Arabidopsis thaliana: one gene and its partners. The protein of the gene in region 1 interacts with the protein of each later gene in a pairwise test. Each region holds a gene or a part of one and is shown on either strand. Other genes may lie near its edges. The genes, in order: AT1G05640, AT4G38690, AT1G07860 and AT4G30500.

Region 1 (6,867 bases):
TATAGAGACACTCAATCTAGCCCATTCTCTGAGAGCAATTTGCAATGCCCTGTAGTTTCATCAGTCATAATGTATGGTTTCATGACGACCTTTCTGATGTTTCTCGCTTTTTCCGGTCTCTTCAATGTGTTTTCTCCATTCTAACTTCCCACCTGCGTGTTTCAACAGGTATGAAGCTTGCATGGATGTTACTGAGAGCGATCACAAACCCGTGCGCTGCAAATTTCATGCGACAATAGCTCATGTTGATAAATCTGTGCGGAGACAGGAACTGGGGAAAATAATAAGGTCTAATGAGAAGATTTTATCCATATTCGAAGATTTAAGATTTGTTCCAGAAACTTCTGTGAGCACCAACAACATTGTTCTTCAGAGTCAGGACACAGTCATCCTAACAATCACAAACAATTCACCCACGAGCCAAGCCATATTTAACATTCTGTGCGGTGGCCAGGCTGTAGTTAAGGATGACGGAGAAGATGCTGACTACAATCCACGAGGCTCCTTTGGTCTACCACGCTGGCTCGAGGTATTAAATTCTCTTTTGACGCCAAATGAAGATTCTTGTAGTATTCAAGATTTAGTGATATACAAGAATTTTTTTCTTTTAGGTTTCTCCCGCAGCAGGGATAATAAATCCAGAAGGATCCGTAGACGTTAAAGTTCATCACGAAGATTTTTACTCAATGGAGGAATATGTTGATGGCATCCCACAGAATTGGTGGTGCGAAGACACTCGAGATAAAGAAGCAATCCTGATGGTGAACATTCGAGGAAGCTGCTCAACAACATTGAGAAGCCACTCTGTCAAAGTCCGTCACTGCTTCTCAGCCAGAGTATGTCTCCTTGAGAACAGACCCACGAACCTAACAAAGAACTTAGGTGGTTCACGTCGTTACCCAACAGATATTACCCGTAATGGAAGCACTAGACCAAGAACTGAAGACTCGGTTAGACGAGGTAAAAGCCGGTGATGAGCTCTTGTGACTTTGACAGTTTTAACTAGATCTTAGAGCAGAAGAACAACAAAGTCATCACAAGACAAATGCATCAGGTGAAGAATCGCTTTTATTCATTCGTTGATTCTTTAGAAAATTCATTTTGTGTCAGAAATTGTAGATTTGCTTTGAGACTGTTCCTCAGGTAGCATGTATTCAACTTTTGTATCTCCTCACTTGAATCTAAACTACAGGTACGTGACCCATGTATACATTTGTTACTCTTACACTAAATTGCCTGTTCTGGAGATTTTAGTCTCAGAGTGCATACATTCTCTTGTTGAATTCGCCGTTGAGAATCTCTGACTCTGAAGGCATATGAGATAGTGAGAAAGATTTCGATTTGCTTCTCTCTTTCCTTAAGCTTTTCAGTTTAGATTCCTCGATCCTATGCATGACCACACAGTAACACATTGCACCTATCGTGGTTAGCATAATCGTCCCGCCAATAATCGTTGCACAAATCGCCAGCCAAATGTCCTCCTTACCCACAACGATAAACGAAAGAGAAACAAAGGCTACGGATATGAACAAACAAGCCAACCACATGAGCTTGTTGATCACAAACACAAGATTCTTCTTTGCCTTCTGCTCAATCACCACAACTGAAGTCTGCACCACAACAACAGCCAAAGATATGAACAGCGCCAAGCTGTCAAATATGAAGAAGACTAAAAACGGGGCTTTGCCGGCTATGCGGGCTTCTCCTAATAACAACAGTCCCTTTGTTCTGTCTTCTTCATATTGCCCAGGAATGGTGAAGATTGCTGCAAATGCAACTGTTGCAATTAGGACAGCCACAACGGTTGCAGAGTTTATAGCGTTGTTTAAACCATTGATGTGAAGCTTCTTCAGTCTCTTTGCGATTCTCCGCACCCTAACACCCGTTTGGCGAGACTGTTGGAGCTGAGACTGTACCTCGTGTTTAATGTCACTGACCGTTTGGTTAAGTTGCTTAGCCGGGTTTCGAGGCTTCCCAAGATCTTTAGCTGTTGCAGCTCCTGCTTCCTTCAGAACCGACACAAGCTCTGGATTTCCAATCTTTTCGGCTATATCAAGTGCAGTATCTCCAGCCTTATTCATAGCATTAAGGTTAATTCCATCAAATGATACCAAACATCTCACTATCTGCAAGCAAAGGCAAAATGCAGTTCATCAGAATTCTTGTAGATTGAGAAACTGAGGGGAGGGGGAATTAGCGATGATGATACCTTAATACGGCCTTTGTTTGTGGCAGTGTGCAACGGCGTATTCCCTTTACTATCCTCAACACTCAAAATCGCAGGATCAGGTTTCACCAACTCAAGAACAATCCCTTCGTTCTGACCTTTGACAGCCATGTGAAGCGCTGTTTGTCCCTTCTTATCAGTTCTAAACCCGATGCTTGCATCATTACCTATCAAAGACTTAACCACTTCTCTGTGCCCCATTCGCGCTGCAGAATGAAGTGCGGTTTTACCATTGTTCTTAGCTATCTTAGCTAAATGAGAATCCGTCTTTAAAAGAAGATTCACCACATCAGTGTGTCCTTGTGAAGCAGCCGTGTGCAATGCAGTTGTACACGATAGATCCACCGTCATAGCCAGATTCGGAAATGTCTCCAACAATTTCTTCAATGCCTCTGCAAAAGACAGCACACATTCAAAGATATATGTCAAGAAGGTGTACAACAATAACAAGGTCTTCAAGTTATTATCAGATTCTCTAAAGTTTCATTTACCAATATGGCCTTGTTTTGCAGCGACATGGAAAGGATCAAAACCGTTGCGAGCTTTAACTGATGCAGTATCAAGATCCATATGTTTCAACATCTCTTCAACAACTAATGAATGCCCATTTTCTGCTGCACTATAAAGAGGGGTCTCTCCTTCTAGATTCTGCTTTGATGACAACTCCTTCAACTCTTCAATGCCGTTACAAGCTCGAATCAATTCCATAACCTTTCCCAAATTCCCCGTTCGAGCTGCGAGATGAAGAGGAGAATCTCCTCTTTTACCAGGTGAGTCAGTCTTCTTCTTCCTCTCACCACCAACATTCATGAAACTTAACTGTCTCTCCATTACTACCCTAAAGCTTTTCTGCTTCTCAACAAACCCACGAAAGCTTCTCTGCCTCTCCATTGCCCTCTCCTGTTTCTCCATTGCTCTTCCTTTGATTCCATGTTTCTCAACAACATTCACAGCTAGGAAACTAACTTGCTTGTCCAAAGCTCTTCCCTTTCTCACCTGATTCTCTGCACCAACGCATCTGAGACTCTGCTGTTCCTCCACAGAGTTACCTCGAACGCTCTCTTGCTTCTCCATAACAGGAACCAGAGAACTCATGGTATGCTTCTCCCTTAGATTACACAAAGATCTTGAATAACAACTTTTTCTCCCAAATCTGAAAGATGCCAACTTTGTTTGAAGAATCCGTGAGCTCTTTTCCAGCAACCCGTGTTTCGTAATAACAGAACCAGCTTGAAAATGGAAAACCCTGACTTCCCTGTGATTTCCAGATTTCTTGTAAAGATTCAAACCGATGTGATGAAAGAAGAGAGAGAAAAAAAAAAAAGGTTGCAGCTGATTTCAGTAGAGTGTAGCTGAAACCCAATAGATTGATTTGTAAATCTCAATGCTTTTTGTGGGCAAATCATGTAAGATTCTCAGGATATAGAGATAGAGAGAGAGACTGTGATGAGTGACTGCATCTTCAGCTGTTTTCTTTATTAATTTCGCTAAACTTCCAAAATCTTTAGTAATATTAGTGATTACTTTTTCTTTTGAGTTTTGAAGCAACAAATTCTTAATTACTATGTCAATTATCTCCAGTTTAAAACTTTATATCCAGTTAAAGCTTCTTTTCTCTAATTTCTTTATATTTTTGTTGTCCAAATCAAAGACCAAAAAGCAAAAGCACAATGTGATGGTGACAACAAGTCAAAGTCTTCCACTTTGTTGGTTACTGAAAATAATATTTTATTAATAAAAAAAAAAAAATTGTATGTTACAGAAATTGGTGATCATATACCTTGTTACAGAAAACTATTTGAAAAATCAGTTTCCTAATAACATTTCACAGTGATATCATCTTAACCCCAAATAAATTCATCGATTTAGACAACTAGTAGGTTGAATAACACCAAGATTTTTCCCAACAGCATTGAAGCACAAGGAAGTAGCAGGAGTTCCTTTGTTGTAAGTAAGCTTTATGTCTTGTAATGTGATTCCCGTGCATGGATTGCTCTTGCTACACACCAGCTTCATTGCTTCCTGCGTCGCCGAAGTTCCTTGTATGTTCTTGTACGTCACTTGGGTTATCTTCACCCCCGAATGCTAATACATACCATAAACATAATAAATCTTTAGTTATTTGACTAAGTTGATAATTTGATATAGCATATTTGATTAGTCTGAAATTGATCAAAAATATGATATGGATATACCTCAGTAGGGCAACCTTGGTTGGACGGACAATAGTTTTGGTCGATTATGATAGGGTTTTGGACGTTCCTCATGATTAGATTTTGAAAGAAGACGTTTCTAACGAATCCGGTACTCGGCCTCGCCCATGACTTTATCCTCACGCCGTTTTGTGATCCGGTGAATACCGAACTCGATACTGTCACGTTCTCTACTCCGTCTTCGTTTAACTGCTTTGCCAAACTCCCGATGCTGCCAGTCATCACATCATCATATGAGTTGTGACCAGAGTGAGTGAAGGCAATATTGCTAGTTTTTTTTTTGTTGGAAATTCATGATTCCTAACAATTAATGATATATTTACATAATTTACTCTAAGGAATTAGACGGTGGTGTATACCTAACCCCGTGACCTGGGCCACAAGCAAGCTTGGAAATTAGGAAGTTGCGGGTCCCCTGACCGATAGCAACACAATCGTCTCCGGTCTGAACGGTGCTTCCGGTTAATGTGACTCCAGTGGAGAACTGAACGGTGAAGCCGTCAGTGTTTGGGCTGTCTCCGGGAGCCACCAGCCTAATGTTACGGACGGCCACATTGGTGCAACCGTTGAGGGTCATATGGCTAACCTGGCTGTTCATCGATTTCACTCCACTTATGATCACGTCTTTTGCGGAGTTGAACGATATTGACTACAGTAATTAATATATAAACGCCATAGATTAATAATAAGATTATAAATATTTCATTTTATTTTGACCAAAGAATCCATTTCCTTGTCCAAAAATCATTATCATAATAGTTATTATATGCTTATAAAATAAATTCCTAAAAATGGCATGGATAGATCATATTGAAAATTAAATGTGCCTGAATTAATATAGTTGAAAACTATCAACTAATTCCTTTTTTTTTTTAATCGTAAGTAAATGATTGGAATAAAGATATGTTATTTGACTATTAAAAAAAATATATTGACTTATTTAGTTATTACTAATCAATAATGATTAAAGCTATTTGTTGCTCTTTTGCATTCTGGTGGCGCTTATGTATGAATGTCAGATTGTTGTTTTTATTTACAATAACTATAGATAGAGGAGAAGCATATGTACCCTAACACCGGGAGGACAATTCTGGCCAGATTTCCGGCAAGACCAGAACCCACTACCTCGAGCGTCAAAAGTCCCACCGACCAGTGAGAATCTGTTAACCTTGTTGAAGAGAATCCAGGAACCGGAATTGCCAAAGGTCCTATAATCTTCCGGAGCAACGACGGTTCCGGTCACTTGAAATGTGATTTTGCTCTTGCATGGCCCTCCAAACGTTATTACCTTCAACAAAAATGTCCCCGTGGGGACCACCACCGTGGCTGATGCTGCCGAGCCACAAGCCCCTTGCCATGCCTTTAGGAATGCTGCTGTGGAATCGGTGACTCCGTCTGGTTTGGCCCCGAAGCTCACGACGTTGAAAACAATGGAGGCGCTGCTCGAGACATCGATGAAGGTGAGAAGTGTGAAGATAAGTGGAAATGTTATAGCTGATTTTGTCATTTTTTATATGTGAGTTTGAGTTTATGTTTGTGTTTGTGTTTGTGTTTGTGTTTGAATTGATTTGATTTGATGCATGGGTATATATAGGGAGAGAGAGCATAATTATTTTGGTTCGTTATTGGAGTCTATGGTACAATTAAGTACATGTGATATCTATATGATAAGAGGTTGTGAATATTTTATGATTGATAAAAGAGTTTACATTTCCAATCATTAGGTGCACACATGGTTGATATCGTACTTTTAGGAGCAACGGTCGTTGTATGAACGATGACATTTTTGCACATTATCAATTTCCCATATAACATGGGCCATATACGTATGTGTATATGTATTATATTCTTGGTACATGTTGTTTTTATATATTGATGAACAAAATAAATACGTGGAAACCCACTCAGCGATTGATTAGAACATAAACCGTATATAACGTTAATTCTATAGAGAACCAACAATACTAAATGAAGAAAACTATCATTTGTGCATAAATAGAAACTCAGCCATAAACTAAGAGAAAGAAACTCAACCAAAACCCCTATAGAGTGCAGAGTTGATTTTTTTTTTTTTTTTTGTTATCGACACAAAATTTACAAACTCCTGAAAGAACTACCATAAAAATAGGAATTCTTTATAAAAAAAATAGTAGTAACAAAATTAAATGAATAATATCTATCCTAATCTTTAGAGTATTCTTTTTATCAATAAAGTATTACTTTTCTCCAAGAAGGTAAAATGATCATGGAACAAAATCCTTAAAAACTTTAATTTTATCAAAATTTCAACAAAGAGAAGAACAATATAATCCATTAAAAGAACAATTTGTCATCTGCCATTTCCTTGCAGCTATATGCAAAACTTATGTTTTGGAAGTATTAGGAACACTTTCAGAACCAAGATTTTCTGATCGAAGGCCAATATAA
Region 2 (5,870 bases), on another chromosome or scaffold:
GGATGCTCAAGAGGAGGAACCAGCTGTAGAAGGGGCAAAGAAGGAAGAGACTGAGGACAAACCGGCTGTAGAAGAGGCTAAGAAGGAAGAAACTGAGGGTGAACAGGCTGTAGAAGAGGCTAAGAAGGAAGAGACTGGTGGCGAACCGGCTGTAGAAGAGGCAAAGAAGGAAGAGACGGAGGACAAAATCTAAAGAGTCAAAAGGCATTTTTGTGGATTGTGATAGTTTGGGTTCTTGAAGTTTAGCTTCTGAGAATTTGTGTTGTTTAATTTGGATAAGTTAAGTTGTGTGGGGGAACTCTAGAGAAAATTTTGGTAGGGTCTTTTTTTTTATAATATCTCTCTGTCTCTTTTTTTTACCACATACTCTGTTGCAATTTTTAGGGTTTTGGGGTGTCTTTTATTTTTTACGAGTTGTACAATTTCATTATTGGTTTAAATCTGTCTTTGAATTTGGGAGCGTTTAGTTGATCAGTGATCAATGGTGCGTAGAGAGAGTGATGTTTGTTATTAAGAGCCCAATTGGCCCAACTTAACCCGACCCAGTATCAGATCTGGCCCGTATTCTATAATCTTCTTGATCGGTGCAGTCCACTTAAGATATATGTGGTGAGGAATAAATCCAACCTGTACAAACACACAGAATGTAGTGGGACGGGGAATATGATAATACCACGCGCTTTAGAGCTGGGAATATATTAAAATTGATCAAAAATAGGCATTTTGGCTGGACTATATAGCTTACCCATTTTGATAACACGCGCTCAACGCTCCTAAGGTGCGCGTGGTACATATCCTTACCTCGAATAAAGTTTATGCTAGTTATTTGGCAGAATCTCAAAGCTTTTTAGAATCATAATTTTCTAAAATAATTAAATCTCTTTACATGTTTTCAAAGTTGTCAAACACTATTACAATTTTGAACATATCATCAATATCAGACAGAAAATTTTCAAAGTTAATACCTGGATCATATGCATTTACTATTTTCTTTTTGTTATATAGAAAAATATCAAATAGATTTTCTAAATAATGACATATACCCTCTTTTTATAGGAGAAAATCTTTTTCCTGTAAACATTCCTAAAATTACAAGTGATCAAACTATATATATATATATATGTTCTAGATTCATTTGGATAGTAAACTTTCATATCAATTCCTTAAGTTTATAAATTATGAAGAGCACATTAATAATATTTTTCACACTCTGTTTGAGCATGGCCGTTATGGCGCGTCACGAATCCTACTATGGCAACACCAAACCGGCTAAACTGAATGAGGAGAAAGTGACACGTGTCAGATTTTATCTCCATGATACTCTCAGTGGCCAAAATCCTACCGCCGTTAGAATCGCACATGCAAATCTAACCGGTGGCTCAGCTTCGCCGGTAGGTTTTGGAAGCCTGTTTGTGATAGACGATCCGCTCACCGTCGGGCCGGAGAAACACTCGAAAGAGATCGGGAATGGTCAAGGGATGTATGTCTCCGGGTGCAAAGACTTGAGCAAATTCACGATCGTCATGTACGCTGATTTGGCTTTCACGGCAGGGAAGTTTAATGGAAGCTCGATCAGTATCTTCTCGAGGAATCCGGTGGCGGAAGAGGTCGGAGAGCGAGAAATCGCGATTGTTGGTGGCCGTGGGAAATTCAGAATGGCGAGAGGTTTTGTCAAAGTAAAAACAAATAAGATTGACATGAAGACTGGTGATGCTGTTCTCCGATATGATGCTACTGTTTATCATTATTAACCGATTCATATGTTCCGATTAAAACAATAAAAAGGCCAACTAAATCAATTATTCAGATCAAAACTGAATTTTGCATGATCAAGAGATCAAAATTGATTAATTATGTTGCAATCTTTCTTCTCAATTCCCAAAATCTATACTAGTAATCTCTTTTACATATCTTAGTTGTGTGGATCGTGATATTTGAGATAGTCTTACAAAAGACATGATAGGGCCTGTGAGTGTATATGATTGGTTTTCCATCGGATCCTATCCGAATTTTATCCAAAATATTAATTATCGATGCCTTGTTTAAATTTTAGGAACGACTTTTATTTCATAGAAAATTTGAATATGTGTCTTCCAAGAAATAAAAATCACGTTGTATTGATATCTTTCACGTCGGAAAATAGCCAGGCATTAGAAATTGACAAATAACAAACAGTGAAGACAGCTATACAACAAAAATGGACCTACCATACATTGTAAACCCACTCTCCCATCAATTACAACTCAACCACTCTTTCAATATATCTCAACTAATCAATCAGTTCACATTTATAACACTAAAATGTTCCCACAATAAAAATTGTAACAGTTAATCTTACATATTAAACGCTACTACTTTTTTTCTATGGTTTTTGTTAAGTTAAAAGTTGAAAGTTACTTCTAATTTGCGAATATGTCAACGGTGTTTTGAGAAAGTAGCGTAATTATTAAAAGATTAACGTATAATTCGTAACTTCTTCAAACCAATAATAAGTAAATAAAAAACAATCATAACGACTTATGAGTAAAGGTTTATTGATAAAGAAGGCATGGAACATTTTATAAACAAGAGAGAACAGAATTCAATATAGTGATCAGAGAAGAGAGAGCAAAGGGAAAGGGTTAATCCTCAGCAATGGGCTCTCACCTTTCCAAACAACTCGAGCGGCGAAAAGCCATCTCCACGGAGAAGAAAGCCCTCACCGATCTCGAGAAATCGTGCGGCTGCGAGTTTCCGGGGTGTGATTACATGCCTTCCGATCGTAAAAACTGGATGGCCGGCGTTGGACCTGAAAAGCTTCACATCAACAAGATCGTCTGGCCTGGGACGCACGACTCTGCCACCAACAAAATCGGTATCCGATTCGTGTCTCGTCCCTTTGCTAAGTGCCAATCTCTCTCCATCTATAACCAGCTCGTGGCGGGTACTCGAGTCCTTGACATTCGTGTCCAAGAAGATCGCCGTGTATGCCACGGTATCCTCAAGACTTATAGTGTCGACGTTGTCTTGGCCGATCTCAAACGGTTTCTATCCGAAACAGAGTCGGAGATTGTCATTCTTGAGATCAGAACAGAGTTTGGACACGAAGACCCACCGGAGTTTGATAAGTATCTTGTGGAACAGCTTGGAGAGCATCTGATTCACCAGGACGATCACGTGTTCTCCAAGACAGTCGCTGAGCTGCTTCCCAAGAGAGTGATCTGCGTTTGGAAACCGAGGAAATCGCCTCAGCCTAAGCATGGTGATCCTCTTTGGAGCGCTGGTTACCTTAAAGACAATTGGATCGATACAGATCTTCCATCGACCAAATTCGAGAGCAACATCAAGCATTTGAGCCAGCAGCAACCAGCTACTTCAAGGAAATTCTTTTACCGGGTGGAGAACACAGTGACGCCGCAGCCCGATAACCCAATAATGTGTGTAAAACCGGTGACTAAGAGGATACATTGCTACGCCAAGGTATTCATCATAGAGTGTGTAAAAAGAGGATGTGCTGATAAACTGCAGATATTCTCAACTGATTTCATAGATAATGAATTTGTTGATGCTTGCGTTGGGCTCACCTTTGCGAGAGCTGAAGGTAAGGCCTGAGGAATGAGCGTGTGGAGACAGACTTTGTGTATCTATTTTGAAGGAAAAGAATCAGAACATGGTTGATGTGTTTTAGGGTTGCTTGTGTATAAGAGAACATGTGAGTGTGTATTTGTATGTGTGTGTGATTTACGAGTGTATATTCCAATTCATTACAACTTATTTGAATCCTGATACAATTGCGAGATATCCAAACTCTTCATTACTATTAATTTCTGATACTTTTGCAGATGTTGTAGTTGATAGACAGGCAAAACAGAAGGAAGAAGTATACAGTTGATGGTAAAATCTAGTTTTAACAAGTGAAAGAGAGCTGCTAACCTGAGAGATGACTATATTTCTGCAGCAATGCCCCTTTTTATTACACACTACTGTGATCTTCAAGAACAAAAAGATAATAGAATCAGTTATGCTAGAATTCATATCAGTAGCTAATGACACAATGCATCTCTATAATTTCATTATTTGATTATATCTATAAACTGAGATGATGGAAACATGGTGCAAAATCCTAATAATTTGAGATTAGATTTCTTCTCAAGACTTGAAACACAAAAGAAGAAGAAGAAGAGCATTTGATCCACAAGAGTGATTGAGCCGAGCCAAATTATTCTCCCTGCTGAGATCGGCAGCGAGACCACTCTTCTAGACTCTAGACATGGGATGCAGAGAAACCAACTTTTTTTATTTAAACGGCTGCGTTTTAAGTCATGTTCTCAAATGATACCAGTTTTTTTTTTTTTTTTTTTTTTGCTAAGCACAAGTTTGATTTGTTGTTTGGCACTTTACGATAACATCATTTTACTCCTATACTTTCTCACGGTAAGTGATTAAGATAAAAACATGCACATTTTTCGAATTATAAGCTAAATTTAAAGGGATCTATTTTCTATCTCTCAATAATTTTTAAATTTTACTCATTTTCTATTTCTCTTATAAATTAATTACTTGGTAATTTAGTTTTGTAATCGATACTCAAAAATCGATATCCAACAAAGGACAATCTCTTTGCGGTCAATAGTCTTCTCAAATTACTTCATACAATTATCATACTGTTTGGTAAAATTTGTGAATCTGCCTCATAAAATGTACGTGGAAAGTGGAACAACAGTTAATGCTTATTTTGACCACAAGATTGAGAAAATTTTGAAAAGAGTATATTGACCAGTTGCTGACGTTGCATGTCATTCTTTAATGTTGTTGTTGACTGCAACAAAAAATAAAATACAACATACAAAGTAAAAAAATAAAAATAAATTAATTGATCTTTGTTTCTCTATTCCCCAGAGAGCTAGCTTTTCAGATCTAAAATCAGAATCTGACGGCTGATATCCCTCGTGAAAAACACCCCAACCGTCCAGATGCAACTGCTTGCTGGGCCAATGATCCATTCTCTTTCCCGAAATGGATTAATCAATTTAAGCCTTATCACATGCTGGCCCATTTTCTAACTCCTCTTTTCTTTTTTAACTTACTTTTCTTTCTTTTAATATTTTAGTTGCAGATTCATTTTCGAAATCAACGAAATTTATGTTTTTTTAATTTTCTGGGTATCTTAATCGCGAGATTTTTTATTTTAATATCACGCTCGAATATACAATTCGGAATGTGCAGATGTTTTTTTTGAAGGCAATTTAGAAAAATAGACAAAAATCGAACAAACATATATAGAAATAGAGATCTAAATAAAAACATTTATTTTATTTCCTCTTGGAAACAAGGAAAAAATGAATTGGGGTGGGTGACGTGGCAGTCATACCCTTGCCACACCCTTCCTATACGCATATAAACAGCAGCTGCGAGGAGAGAGAGATTTCAGAGTATTTTCTAGGGTTTCGTTTTTTTTAAAGATTTAGAGAAAAAAGTGAGTTATTAAGAGATTCCAATCAAAATGAGCGGAGACAACGGCGGTGGTGAGAGGCGCAAAGGCTCCGTCAAGTGGTTTGATACCCAGAAGGGTTTCGGCTTCATCACTCCTGACGACGGTGGCGACGATCTCTTCGTTCACCAGTCCTCCATCAGATCTGAGGGTTTCCGTAGCCTCGCTGCCGAAGAAGCCGTAGAGTTCGAGGTTGAGATCGACAACAACAACCGTCCCAAGGCCATCGATGTTTCTGGACCCGACGGCGCTCCCGTCCAAGGAAACAGCGGTGGTGGTTCATCTGGCGGACGCGGCGGTTTCGGTGGAGGAAGAGGAGGTGGACGCGGATCTGGAGGTGGATACGGCGGTGGCGGTGGTGGATACGGAGGAAGAGGAGGTGGTGGTCGAGGAGGCAGCG
Region 3 (4,841 bases), 740 kb from region 1:
CCACGTGTCCCCGCTCTTTACCCGCAGCGACCAAGGATGTTCAACACGACGCTTGATCACATCGTTTTCGGGATTGCCGCGTCCTCTGTTCTGTGGGAGACGAGAAAAGAGTACATCAAATCATGGTGGCGACCTGGTAAAACTCGTGGCGTTGTCTGGATTGACAAGAGAGTCAGAACTTACCGAAACGATCCCCTTCCAGAAATCAGAATCTCCCAAGACACCTCACGGTTCAGGTACTTACTCATCTCTACAATATCTGACGTGTTTTACAAGAAATCTCTTATTCAAATCAAGAAGTCATGTTTTAGGTACACCCATCCAGTAGGGGACAGATCAGCGGTGAGGATATCTCGAGTAGTGACGGAGACGCTTCGGCTAGGCAAAAAAGGTGTACGGTGGTTCGTGATGGGAGACGACGACACAGTGTTTGTGGTGGACAATGTGGTAAACGTCCTTTCAAAGTACGACCACACTCAGTTCTACTACGTTGGTAGCTCCTCGGAGGCTCACGTTCAGAACATCTTCTTCTCATATTCAATGGCATTTGGAGGCGGTGGGTTCGCCATCAGCTATGCTCTAGCCCTCGAGCTCTTGCGGATGCAGGACCGTTGCATCCAACGGTATCCTGGTCTCTACGGCAGTGATGATCGCATCCAAGCTTGTATGACTGAACTTGGTGTACCCCTCACCAAAGAACCTGGCTTTCACCAGGTGTCATTTTCTACGTTTCCTCGATGTTTAATTACTTCGGTTTGGTTTCGGTTCGGATTAGAACGGTTTATCTGGATTGAATACGTCTAATTTTAATGTTTCTATGTATGCAGTACGATGTTTATGGGGACTTATTGGGGTTATTAGGTGCACACCCAGTGGCTCCCTTGGTGTCGCTGCACCACATCGATGTGGTGCAGCCGATATTCCCAAAGATGAAGCGGTCACGTGCACTACGACACTTGATGTCTTCAGCAGTTCTTGACCCAGCCAGCATATTCCAGCAGTCCATCTGCTACGACCAGAACCGGTTCTGGTCCATCTCGGTCTCATGGGGTTTCGTAGTCCAGATAATCCGAGGCATCATATCCCCTCGCGAACTTGAGATGCCTTCAAGAACATTCCTCAACTGGTTCCGCAAAGCCGACTACATTGGTTACGCGTTTAACACGAGACCAGTGTCGAGGCATCCGTGCCAAAGACCATTTGTGTTTTACTTAAACTCGGCTAAGTATGATGAAGGACGTCGCCAAGTGATTGGATACTACAACTTGGACAAGACAAGGCGGATTCCCGGGTGCCGATGGAGGCTCGATTCGCCTGGAAAGATCGATTCAGTCGTCGTTCTCAAGCGACCTGATCCCCTCCGATGGCACAAGGTTGGTCCACATCTTCTCTTTGCTTCATTATTAACAACTTGCATCAAATATAGTCATACCGGTTTGGTTTTGGCTAGTGAATTGACAGAGATAACCGGCTGAGATCATATAATAAACCGGTGTTGAAATAACATGATGTTAAAATTGTGTGTTTGGTGCAGTCACCGAGGAGGGATTGTTGCAGAGTATTGCCGAGTAGGAGAAACCAAACGATGTATATTTGGGTCGGAAATTGCGCAGATGGAGAGATCAGTGAGCTTGAACATCCTCAGCAGCATTAACAAGATTCAGATATATACTCACTAAAGATTTCTTCAAATGACTATGCAATTTGTTGAAAACATTCTGTGTATCGTCGTTCACAAACAATTCTCAATCCTAAATCAAAAACTATTGTTTCAACTGAAGCAAATACAAAGAAAAGAAAAATTCAATCCCTGAAAGTTATCTGTTCATGAAAGAAATCAGTAAGAAACTGAAAGAAACTTTTCTCCGTTCAGAGATTAGACTGCGTGTGGCTGTTTTGCTTTGTTCACCGACTGGGTTGCATTTTGCTGCGATTGAGTTGCGTTGTGAAAAGTTGTGAGATTCTGATTGGTAGAGACGACGGCGACGAGAGCTGAGGAGGCTGGTGAAACAGCAGAGGAAGCAAGAATCGCTAAACTGACATGAGACTCGTTTCTCACGGCCATGGATTTCTCAAGACGATGTATCGACATTATCTCTCCATCGTTCATGACGCTCACTGTAACCAAAACCAAAATCAGAAAGACTCATTTTCTCGGGAAAATCTTTTCTTAGATTAAAGAATCGGAGAAATAAGGAACCTGAGTGGGAGAAAATCCAGAGGGTGAAGAAACAGAGAAAAACGATCACCGGAATTGCATGGATCCAATACTCCGATACCGGAAATATCCCTCTCCGGGTGTTTCCTGTCCTTCTGCCAATGTGAGAAGAAGAGATCGGGAGCTGAGAGAATGATCTTTCCGCCATTGTTGTCTTATCTTGTAGCTTCTCTTCCAAGAATCACAAAACCAGTAGAGAGAGATAAGAGAGAAGAGATTTGTGAAGCCTTCTTGGATTAGGTTTTGGTTATTTAACGGCAAAAATCTTAACGGGTTCACGCGGGATAAGTTGCATCACGTGATCATAGTCCTATTTCTATTACATATTTACGACTTTTGCCATTCATCATTATGAATTTTTAGACATTACTTAATCCTAATTTACCAGACTTTTTGATCGGGAAAATATATATATGACCAACGATATTTGTTTTTGTTCAATATATGTATATATGTCCCAAAACAAAATGGTTTTTTTTTTTTTTCCTTTTCTACAGAACAGAAACATTCTACATACAAAGAAGCCGAGTCAAGATTTACATCCACAATAGATGTTAAAAATGTACCTGAGTTGGTTTTATATTTTTCCCCAATTTCTTGGTGAAGCCAAAATTAGATTTGATTTTTTACCACTCTCTTATTGGATATCCTATGAGGACCCTTCACATTCAGTTTCCTTGACGAGGTGTGGTCTTTTCTCTTCATCATCTCTGTCTCTGTGAAAAGAAGGGTTCTTCCCGCTGCTGCTGCTAGGGCTATTCGGATCATATTTAGAAGAGGCTAAGAAGTTGAGAGCCAATACTACATCAGATACCACTGGTCTCATGGTAGGCTGCTCTTGAACGCACATTGCTGATATTGCTAGTGCTTGGTACAGTCCTCTAACTGGGTATTGTCCCTGAAGCAATGGATCAACCATTTTTGGGAAGTTCCTCCTGTCTTTGAACAATGGTCGTGCCTGTTAAAAAGCACCGTGAAAATATGAGTCTTGTTTCAGTAAAGATTATTATGAGTCACAGCCAAGAGACAAAACATACCCATCCAACCAAATTCTGATCTTTACGCGTTTTTGTATTGTCAATCGCTTTCCTTCCGGTGATAAGCTCGAGAAGGACTACTCCAAAACTGTATATATCGGATTTAAATGTGAGCTGACCCGTCATAGCGTAGTCAGGAGCACAGTATCCGTACGTTCCCATAACCCTTGTCGAGACATGGGTTTTATCCCCGCTTGGTCCTACTTTAGCCAACCCAAAGTCAGATAGTTTCGGTTGATAGTCTTCACCAAGCAAAATATTCGAACATTTAAGATCTCGGTAAATCACAGGGGGCGTCATTCTGTCATGCAGATACTCTAAACCTCTTGCTGCACCAGCTGCTATTTTCATCCGGGTGTTCCAGTCAAGAGGCTTTTTACCAGAAGGGAGAACTTGAAACAGTCAAAACAACAATGTAAAAGTTAGATGAGAAAAGGGGGTAGCTGCGAGACAAACAATACAGAGGCAAAGGATAGGAATTTGATCTTACAACATACCATGTAGATGATCTTCAAGGGATCCTTGCGGCATATACTCGTACACCAGTAGTCTCTGATCACCCTCAGCACAAAACCCAATAAGCTTCACAAGATTCGGATGGTCAGCAAGACTTAGAGTCAATACCTCAACCACAAATTCCCTGATTCCTTGAACCCCATTACGATCAAGTTGCTTGATTGCAACAACCTAGCAGCAGAACCAAGTTTCACCAACCGTTCAAAACTATGACAAATCTCACAGCCAATTGATAAAAACAGATAGGATTTTTCTTTGTCACAAGTACCTGATCCAATTTCTCTATAGTTCCCTTGAAAACTTTTCCGAAACCTCCTTCACCAAGAAAACAATCCGATCTAAAGTTTCCCGTAGCTTCTGCAAGTTCTTGAAAAGTAAAAGTCTGTGCTTTCTTCCCTGTGACTTGGTCATTTAGATTCAAACCCTTCACATCCAAAGATAACTGATCTTCCTTACCAACTCCTCCTTCATTGTTTACATCTCTATATGGACTGACTTTTGTTGAATCTACAACACATGGAACGAGTAACAAAATCGATTACCAGTTATCATGTGACTTAACCAAAAACAGACACGGCAAGATACCAAAGGCTCAATTTTGACACTTTGTCCCCTCATGGAGGAGACAAAACCAAAAAAAACTAGCTCGATTTCAAAAACCCAACATCGTTTATATGGTGAATAGTACACATGCATCAAAATTCTCCGGGGAAAAATCACAAAAAATCTCCATTAAATGTCTCTCCCAAATGTAACAGATACAGAAAAACCTAAACATAAGTATCCGATAAAAAAAAATCAACAAATCCAAAAGAGAGCTTGTGGAGAAGAGAGAATAACGAAATTAGTCAAAATCACTCGATACCTGAACTGGGCTGAGTCTGATCGTCTCGCTTATCACTCTTAGCAACGCTCGTAGTACCACCGACAATTTTTCTATTTATGACAGTATCTTTGTTAGTCTCGGATCGTTTGCTCGATTTCTTACTGCATCCGAAACAACCCATCGGAAATTGAAGGAGAAAAGAGTAATTCTCGCTTGTCCCTTTTCTCTTCTTCTTCCTTCCTTC
Region 4 (6,063 bases), on another chromosome or scaffold:
GTAAGATTTTAGGATATCTTCATTTTGAAACCATGGTTACATGACAAGTTTTGATAATCTTTTACCTTTCACGTTCTTTTCAGAGCAACGGTATCGGTGATCACTTATAACGGATATTTCCAGGAGTATACGCTAAGTATCAATAACAAGAATGAGTCTCTATGGACACTGGAACGTGAATTCAATCTCTTCTCCATAACCACCGGGTGATGTATACAACCAAATATCAAATATATGAAAGTACTGGGCAACTTTTTTGTATGTAACAATTTTTGTACCTTGGGTTCATTAAGAATATGTTTATAGTCTCATGTTCTTTGGTTATTCGCAAATATAATTAGCTCTTCCGTGCTATTACTGTATCTTAATCTTGATTTGTGTTGAAGAAATGAAATACAAAATGGTTTCCCAACTCTTTCCATCATATCCCACTTACTCCATAGTTACAGTCAAGGCTCTTTAGCTATGAATCAGAATTTTCAAGTCAGGATCATTTGTCGGTCTAATGGCTCACAAGTCATAACATCATCATAATCCAAAGAGCAAAAGTCTTTTATCTTATGAGAATTCACTGTATCCTACTCAAGACTATTAGTCTACTTCATCTTAACACATCCATTAAGTCAAAATAGTGTAAAGACAGGTACATTACAAAGTCAAGAGTATTTACCCATTGATTTGCATTTTGTATGTTTGAAGAAAGATTTGCTAATTGTGTTTGCTAAAGATGAATGTTTAAGACATTCATCGAGATCTTGTCTTAACGACTTGTCCTCTAGAAGCTTTTCTCTCCATCTTCTCCCTCTTTTTGCGAGTCTTCTCATCCTCAACACCTCCCTAAGTTCAGTCATATAGACAAAACACAGTCCATTTTAAATGATCATGTTTTATTTCCCCCTTGTTCAAAGCACTTTGAGAGTATTCAAGACAAAGTGATTACCTCTGAACCATGTGACAATAGTCCCTTAATAAGACCAGAAGCTTTGTATGCTCCAAATGCAGGGATCTAAAATAAAAACAAGCAAAAGTAAATGGTTGCATCATTCCTACAGAGCAAATCTGTTGTTTGCCTTAAAATATGGCAATAAAGAAAATTGAGATGGGTATCATACCACTAAATACGCGTACCAAAACTTTCCAGAGATGATAGATCCGACCTGCACAAAGCAGGTGATGTAGAGTACATCATGCAAATATCTGCAAGGAAGAATAGAGCATCAGGCTTATACTATAGAATCTACCATAAATCCAATCCACCATAAAGATGACGATTATGTAGCAACTGATAAACGATAAAACTCGGAGAAAGCCACAACTAGTAAAACATCACTCATTTCAAACAACTGATAATGAAACAGTCCTCCTACTATTGCTTTTGGTTATGGAAACAGAATCCAACTATACAGAAACACTTGAGACAAAAGCAGGCACTTTCTAGTTGATCAATTTAAAAGACAAATCTTTCCGAACGTACCCACACATTCCAGGAGTGCTCATGTCAAATCCACCATCAAGAAGTTCACCAGCATCACTAACACTAGGCTTTGCCATTTGATGAAGAAGCTTATATGGAATCCCGTAACCTAACGATGTTAACACAAGACCAATCCAATTTTTCCAGGTATGACTTGAATGCGAAATTATAACCCTCACTAGGACATACAAAATCTGCAAACACATATTGCCAAAAACATCAATCCTCGAATTCATCGAAACAAAATCAGCTAAACATTGAAACTTTCGAGACCTAAAGATCAAATTCAACGGATTTTTAGTTCCATATTGATACAAGTAACGTATCTAAACAAATCTAAGCTCAACGGATTAATGTATTGAGAATTTAAGAAATGAGGAACGAGGAAGTTACGTTGCAAAGGATCATAATGAGACGGAGCTTAGCCATGTGTCGAGCGTTCTCATCTTTCCTCTTCTTTGCTCCTTGATTCGCCATGAGTTAAAAGAGAATGATCAAAGAGACGAGGAAGATAGTTTTTTCAGTTTCTGTAATTCTTCTTTTGCTTTGGATCTTCACAAATGGTGTGAGAGAAAACTTTTAGGTGTCTAAGCTTGTTTAATCCAATTATATATTGACACCTGTACCTTTTTGTCGTCCTCTTTTCTCAAATACTTTTTTCACGCAGGAAATGTTTTGTTTGGCTGCGTGTCGTAATTACGCTTTTCCTTGGGTTTAGGACAAAGATTCTTAATTTGGGCTTTCGTCTATCCTTATCAGTTGTTGTTGGAAAACTGAAACAGTTCTATCTAAATGGGCCAGAACAACCTAAAAGGCCCATAAAATCTGACATCTTAAGGCCTATCAACAGAAAACTGCATTATTTCAGTTTTCCAATAACAAGGTCTGTGTGAAAATCACCGGCGCTCGGAGAAGACATCAACATAAAACCTTTTACCGCTGTTCCAAAAACTAAAAAGTATACCATTTCTATGATCAATCGGTAAAACGATATTTATAACGGAACAAGAACAAAAGTAGTGTAAATTTTTTTCCCTGTTTTATGTTGTTCTATAGACAAAAAAAAATGAAGATATCATATCTTGTGGGCCTATATCCAATATTTGAGTGTAGCCCATATTTGGATCAAACATCACGTCTTACACAATGGTTCTCGGATATCCCAATCTGAGTATGGTTTTAGGTCAATTCAACATAGTATTATTTTGTCAACAAGCACCATTATAGCAAAAACAAAGATGTATCAAAGAAAAGTAGCGTTAGGGGTTGGTCAGAAAAAGACATGTTTGCAGTGTAAGAAATGACGTGGACACGTGGAATCATACGCAATGCAACATGTCATCATTAAGGTCCATTGTTCAACTTACCCATTGAGAACAAAACTAGAAAAATTATAGACCGTTGGATCATCTTTAAGGACCATGTCTGATTCACGTATCTCTCTCCCACTTGGAATATGCTTAGCCTATGTATGGGACACATTCGCTAGGTCCACCAGTATCCTGTACGCAAACGCAACATCGAGAAGCTTCCGTTTCCAATATTCTATACTATAATTACAAATGTTAAAAATTGTTTATAAAATTTGTAATTTGACTTGTAGACATCATTAGGGTAAAGATATATCAAGAAATTACTTTTTTCATAGGAATAAAAATAGTCAACTCTCTTAAATAAGGGACAAATACAATCCTCTAATGACCTGGAAAACAACTATGCAATCAACATTAACAAATGTAATTAGAAGTACAACACAATCAATTTTGGTTAAAAAATTGAAAGTATATAAAAATAAAAAAATAAAAAACGTGTCTTAGTTGATAAATAACTCATTAATCACGCCTCTATCTCTCTGTTTTAAGAGTTTAACAGTTAAAGATCTTCTTCTCTATCTTCCTTATTTGACTACATCTCCGTTTATTCTTGGGTCTCTCTCTATCTCTCTTATCCAGATTTATCATCGTCATTACATATAAACATCAAACTTAACTTTTCAATATTCTCATTCACTTTTTCCTCTTGTGCTCTAATTCTTATCCGGATCCGATTTCTCTCATACAAAGATTCTGTTTTTCTTCTTGGGTTATTGTTCTTGCTCTGTTTCCGTATCTCAAAGTTTCAGCTGCTGAATTGAATTTGCATTGATCGTAGATGAGACCAATCATTAGGTTATCATCTCTCAGTAGAATTAGATGGGCTCTAAGGAACAATCAAGAACGTTATTCTTCAACTTTCTACTCCAAAAGCCGCAAACTTTTGATCGGTGTCAATCAAAATCAAGCTCTGCTGAATACAAACACTGATAATTCAAGTTTGTATTCAAGGTCAAGTATCTTTAGAGGCTTATCAGCAGAAGCAGTAGAAGCAGCTGATCCTGCTACTACTAGGGTCACCGTCTCAGGTTTTGTTTCTCTTTGCAAAGAAATTCTATCAATCTCAGAGTTCGTGTTTATTGGTTTGCTGATATTTGTTGAATGATGACAGATGTGAATAGAACAGGTCCTCTTGTTGAGTATGAGAGAAGAATCAGTAATGGTGAACTCATGACTGGTGATATCTGCCAAGTATGATAAAAATAATAGCCACTCTTTTTTACTTCATTGAAGCTTTTGAGCTATAAGATTAAATGTGATTCGTGTTACTTGCGGCTTAAGGTTGTGTTTGAAATGTTGTAGATTAGTGCATTGAGAGAGCTTCAGAGACTATATGATGAGCTTGTGGATTCAGTAGATACATGTCGTTTAGATCGGTATAATACTTCTGATAAATCCTCAAGGTGATTGTTCTGTTCTCTTAGCCTTGACACCTTTCCTTCTCTGTTTAGGATTGAGAACTTGAGTCTCACACAACTGTGTTTTTGTGTAATACAGAAGTCGTTGGTTTTGGTCTCGGCTCATGCCACAGACTTCTTACTCACCCGTCAAAGGATTATACCTTTATGGAGGTGTAGGTACAGGAAAAACCATGTTGATGGACTTATTCTTTGATCAACTGTAAGTTTGTATGATCAAATTCTTATCCTTTTTTTTCGAGCATTGCGGTTTCATGACAATTCTCTTGTTTCATTAGGCCTTGTACTTGGAAGAAGCAGAGGATACATTTCCATGATTTCATGTTGAGTGTTCATAGCCGCTTGCAAGTATGGATAATTGAGTTTCCATTGTTTCTCTATTGATTTTAGTAGGAAAAGCTTTAGCCTTTTGAGATACGTTGTTTGATTTCGGTTCATAATGTTTGCAGAAGCACAAGGGTTTATCAGATCCACTTGAAGTTGTTGCCCAAGAGATAGCTCATGATGCAATCTTACTATGTCTAGATGAGTTCATGGTATGTACACTATTTCATATATTTATTTTCTTGAAAGTGATCATCTTTGGATCAACACATCTTGATTTTTTCGGCTACTGTTTCTGTTATTATAGGTAACTGATGTTGCAGATGCTCTAATACTAAACCGACTCTTTGGACATCTGTTTAGCAATGGTGTTGTAAGTGTCATCTTTACTTACATTATGCTGCTACAATCATCTTAAAACTGACTTTTGTCCATGCTTGCTATATAAAATATAGATTCTTGTTGCTACATCGAATCGGAATCCTGATAAACTCTATGAAGGAGGACTCCAAAGAGATCTGTTCCTACCTTTCATTTCTTCATTGAAGGTAGTCTAATCTACTATCATTAGTCCACTTTCAGTACCTTTTTAATTCAAAGACTGCATCAAGATTTCCATTTTCGCAGGAACGAAGTGTGGTTCATGAGATCGGTTCAGCGGTTGATTACCGGAAACTAACTTCGGTATTGCTCTTAATCCCATTAAAAACTCCCTAGACTGGCTTCAAGGTAGAGCTGAGTTCAATAACTGGGACACTTCTTCATTTTTGCAGGCTGAGCAAGGATTCTACTTCATTGGTAAAGATCTTTCGACCCTTTTGAAACAGAAGTTCCGACAATTGATTGGAGACAATGTTGTTGCCCGTCCACAGGTAGTAGAAGTGGTGATGGGAAGAAAATTACAGGTACAGTTTATTATACCAATCTCTGTGTAACTCCAACAACACTTGTGTTGTCTGTATATAAGTTCTTCATCAGACCAAATGCTGCTTCATGAACAGATTCCATTAGGTGCCAATGGATGTGCATACTTTCCTTTTGAAGAGCTATGTGACCGACCTCTTGGAGCTGCGGATTACTTCGGTTTGTTCAGTAAGATACTTTACTTTGTCTCTCTCTCATCTGCAAATCTTGTCTCTAAACAGTGCTTCTTCTTCTTCTTGATGTTGCAGAGAAGTTTCATACTCTTGCCTTGGACGAAATTCCAGTGTTTGGGCTTCATAACCGTACTGCTGCATATAGATTCGTCACGCTAGTCGATGTATGCAATTCCTGGTTCTTGTTTTGTTCTTATAAGATGGCACTACCAAACCATTTCATCAAAATCTGATAATGATGGTTTAAGAATTGCAGGTAATGTATGAGAACAGAGCGAGGTTGTTGTGTACAGCTGAAGCAAATCCTCAAGAACTTTTGGAAAAGATTATAACAATCTCAGAGGCGAAATCGATGGGTCCAAGAACATCATCAAGAT

The links.
Region 2: the proteins of AT1G05640 (region 1) and AT4G38690 interact in a protein complementation assay, tested with the Arabidopsis thaliana proteins (one large-scale study listed by BioGRID).
Region 3: the proteins of AT1G05640 (region 1) and AT1G07860 interact in a protein complementation assay, tested with the Arabidopsis thaliana proteins (one large-scale study listed by BioGRID).
Region 4: the proteins of AT1G05640 (region 1) and AT4G30500 interact in a protein complementation assay, tested with the Arabidopsis thaliana proteins (one large-scale study listed by BioGRID).

Annotation. Positions count from the first base shown.
Region 1 is NC_003070.9:1,686,180-1,693,046, forward strand, and holds AT1G05640 (Ankyrin repeat family protein), read right to left. Parts: upstream 3,777-6,867; 5' UTR 3,323-3,776; coding exon 2,719-3,322; intron 2,620-2,718; coding exon 2,210-2,619; intron 2,127-2,209; coding exon 1,257-2,126; downstream 1-1,256. Other genes in the region: 5PTASE13 (Endonuclease/exonuclease/phosphatase family protein), read left to right, coding at 1-71, 169-529, 612-974; AT1G05650 (Pectin lyase-like superfamily protein), read right to left, coding at 4,085-4,312, 4,423-4,651, 4,800-5,089, 5,510-5,947.
Region 2 is NC_003075.7:18,072,464-18,078,333, reverse strand, and holds AT4G38690 (PLC-like phosphodiesterases superfamily protein), read left to right. Parts: upstream 1-2,376; 5' UTR 2,377-2,634; coding exon 2,635-3,591; 3' UTR 3,592-4,014; downstream 4,015-5,870. Other genes in the region: AT4G38710 (glycine-rich protein), read left to right, coding at 1-193; AT4G38700 (Disease resistance-responsive (dirigent-like protein) family protein), read left to right, coding at 1,179-1,751; GRP2 (glycine rich protein 2), read left to right, coding at 5,483-5,870.
Region 3 is NC_003070.9:2,427,066-2,431,906, forward strand, and holds AT1G07860 (Serine/Threonine-kinase RLCKVII protein), read right to left. Parts: upstream 2,367-4,841; coding exon 2,201-2,366; intron 2,161-2,200; exon of another isoform or gene 2,119-2,160; coding exon 1,877-2,118; 3' UTR 1,846-1,876; downstream 1-1,845. Other genes in the region: AT1G07850 (transferring glycosyl group transferase (DUF604)), read left to right, coding at 1-236, 312-714, 828-1,373, 1,535-1,654; AT1G07870 (Protein kinase superfamily protein), read right to left, coding at 1,877-2,118, 2,201-2,313, 2,878-3,176, 3,256-3,647, 3,753-3,942, 4,040-4,278, 4,637-4,778.
Region 4 is NC_003075.7:14,899,446-14,905,508, reverse strand, and holds AT4G30500 (transmembrane protein (DUF788)), read right to left. Parts: upstream 2,159-6,063; 5' UTR 1,952-2,158; coding exon 1,868-1,951; intron 1,669-1,867; coding exon 1,475-1,668; intron 1,198-1,474; coding exon 1,113-1,197; intron 1,007-1,112; coding exon 941-1,006; intron 838-940; coding exon 745-837; 3' UTR 501-744; downstream 1-500. Other genes in the region: ATG18B (autophagy 18 B-like protein), read left to right, coding at 84-210; AT4G30490 (AFG1-like ATPase family protein), read left to right, coding at 3,626-3,875, 3,959-4,038, 4,150-4,250, 4,345-4,467, 4,544-4,613, 4,715-4,801, 4,897-4,962, 5,045-5,137 and 5 more.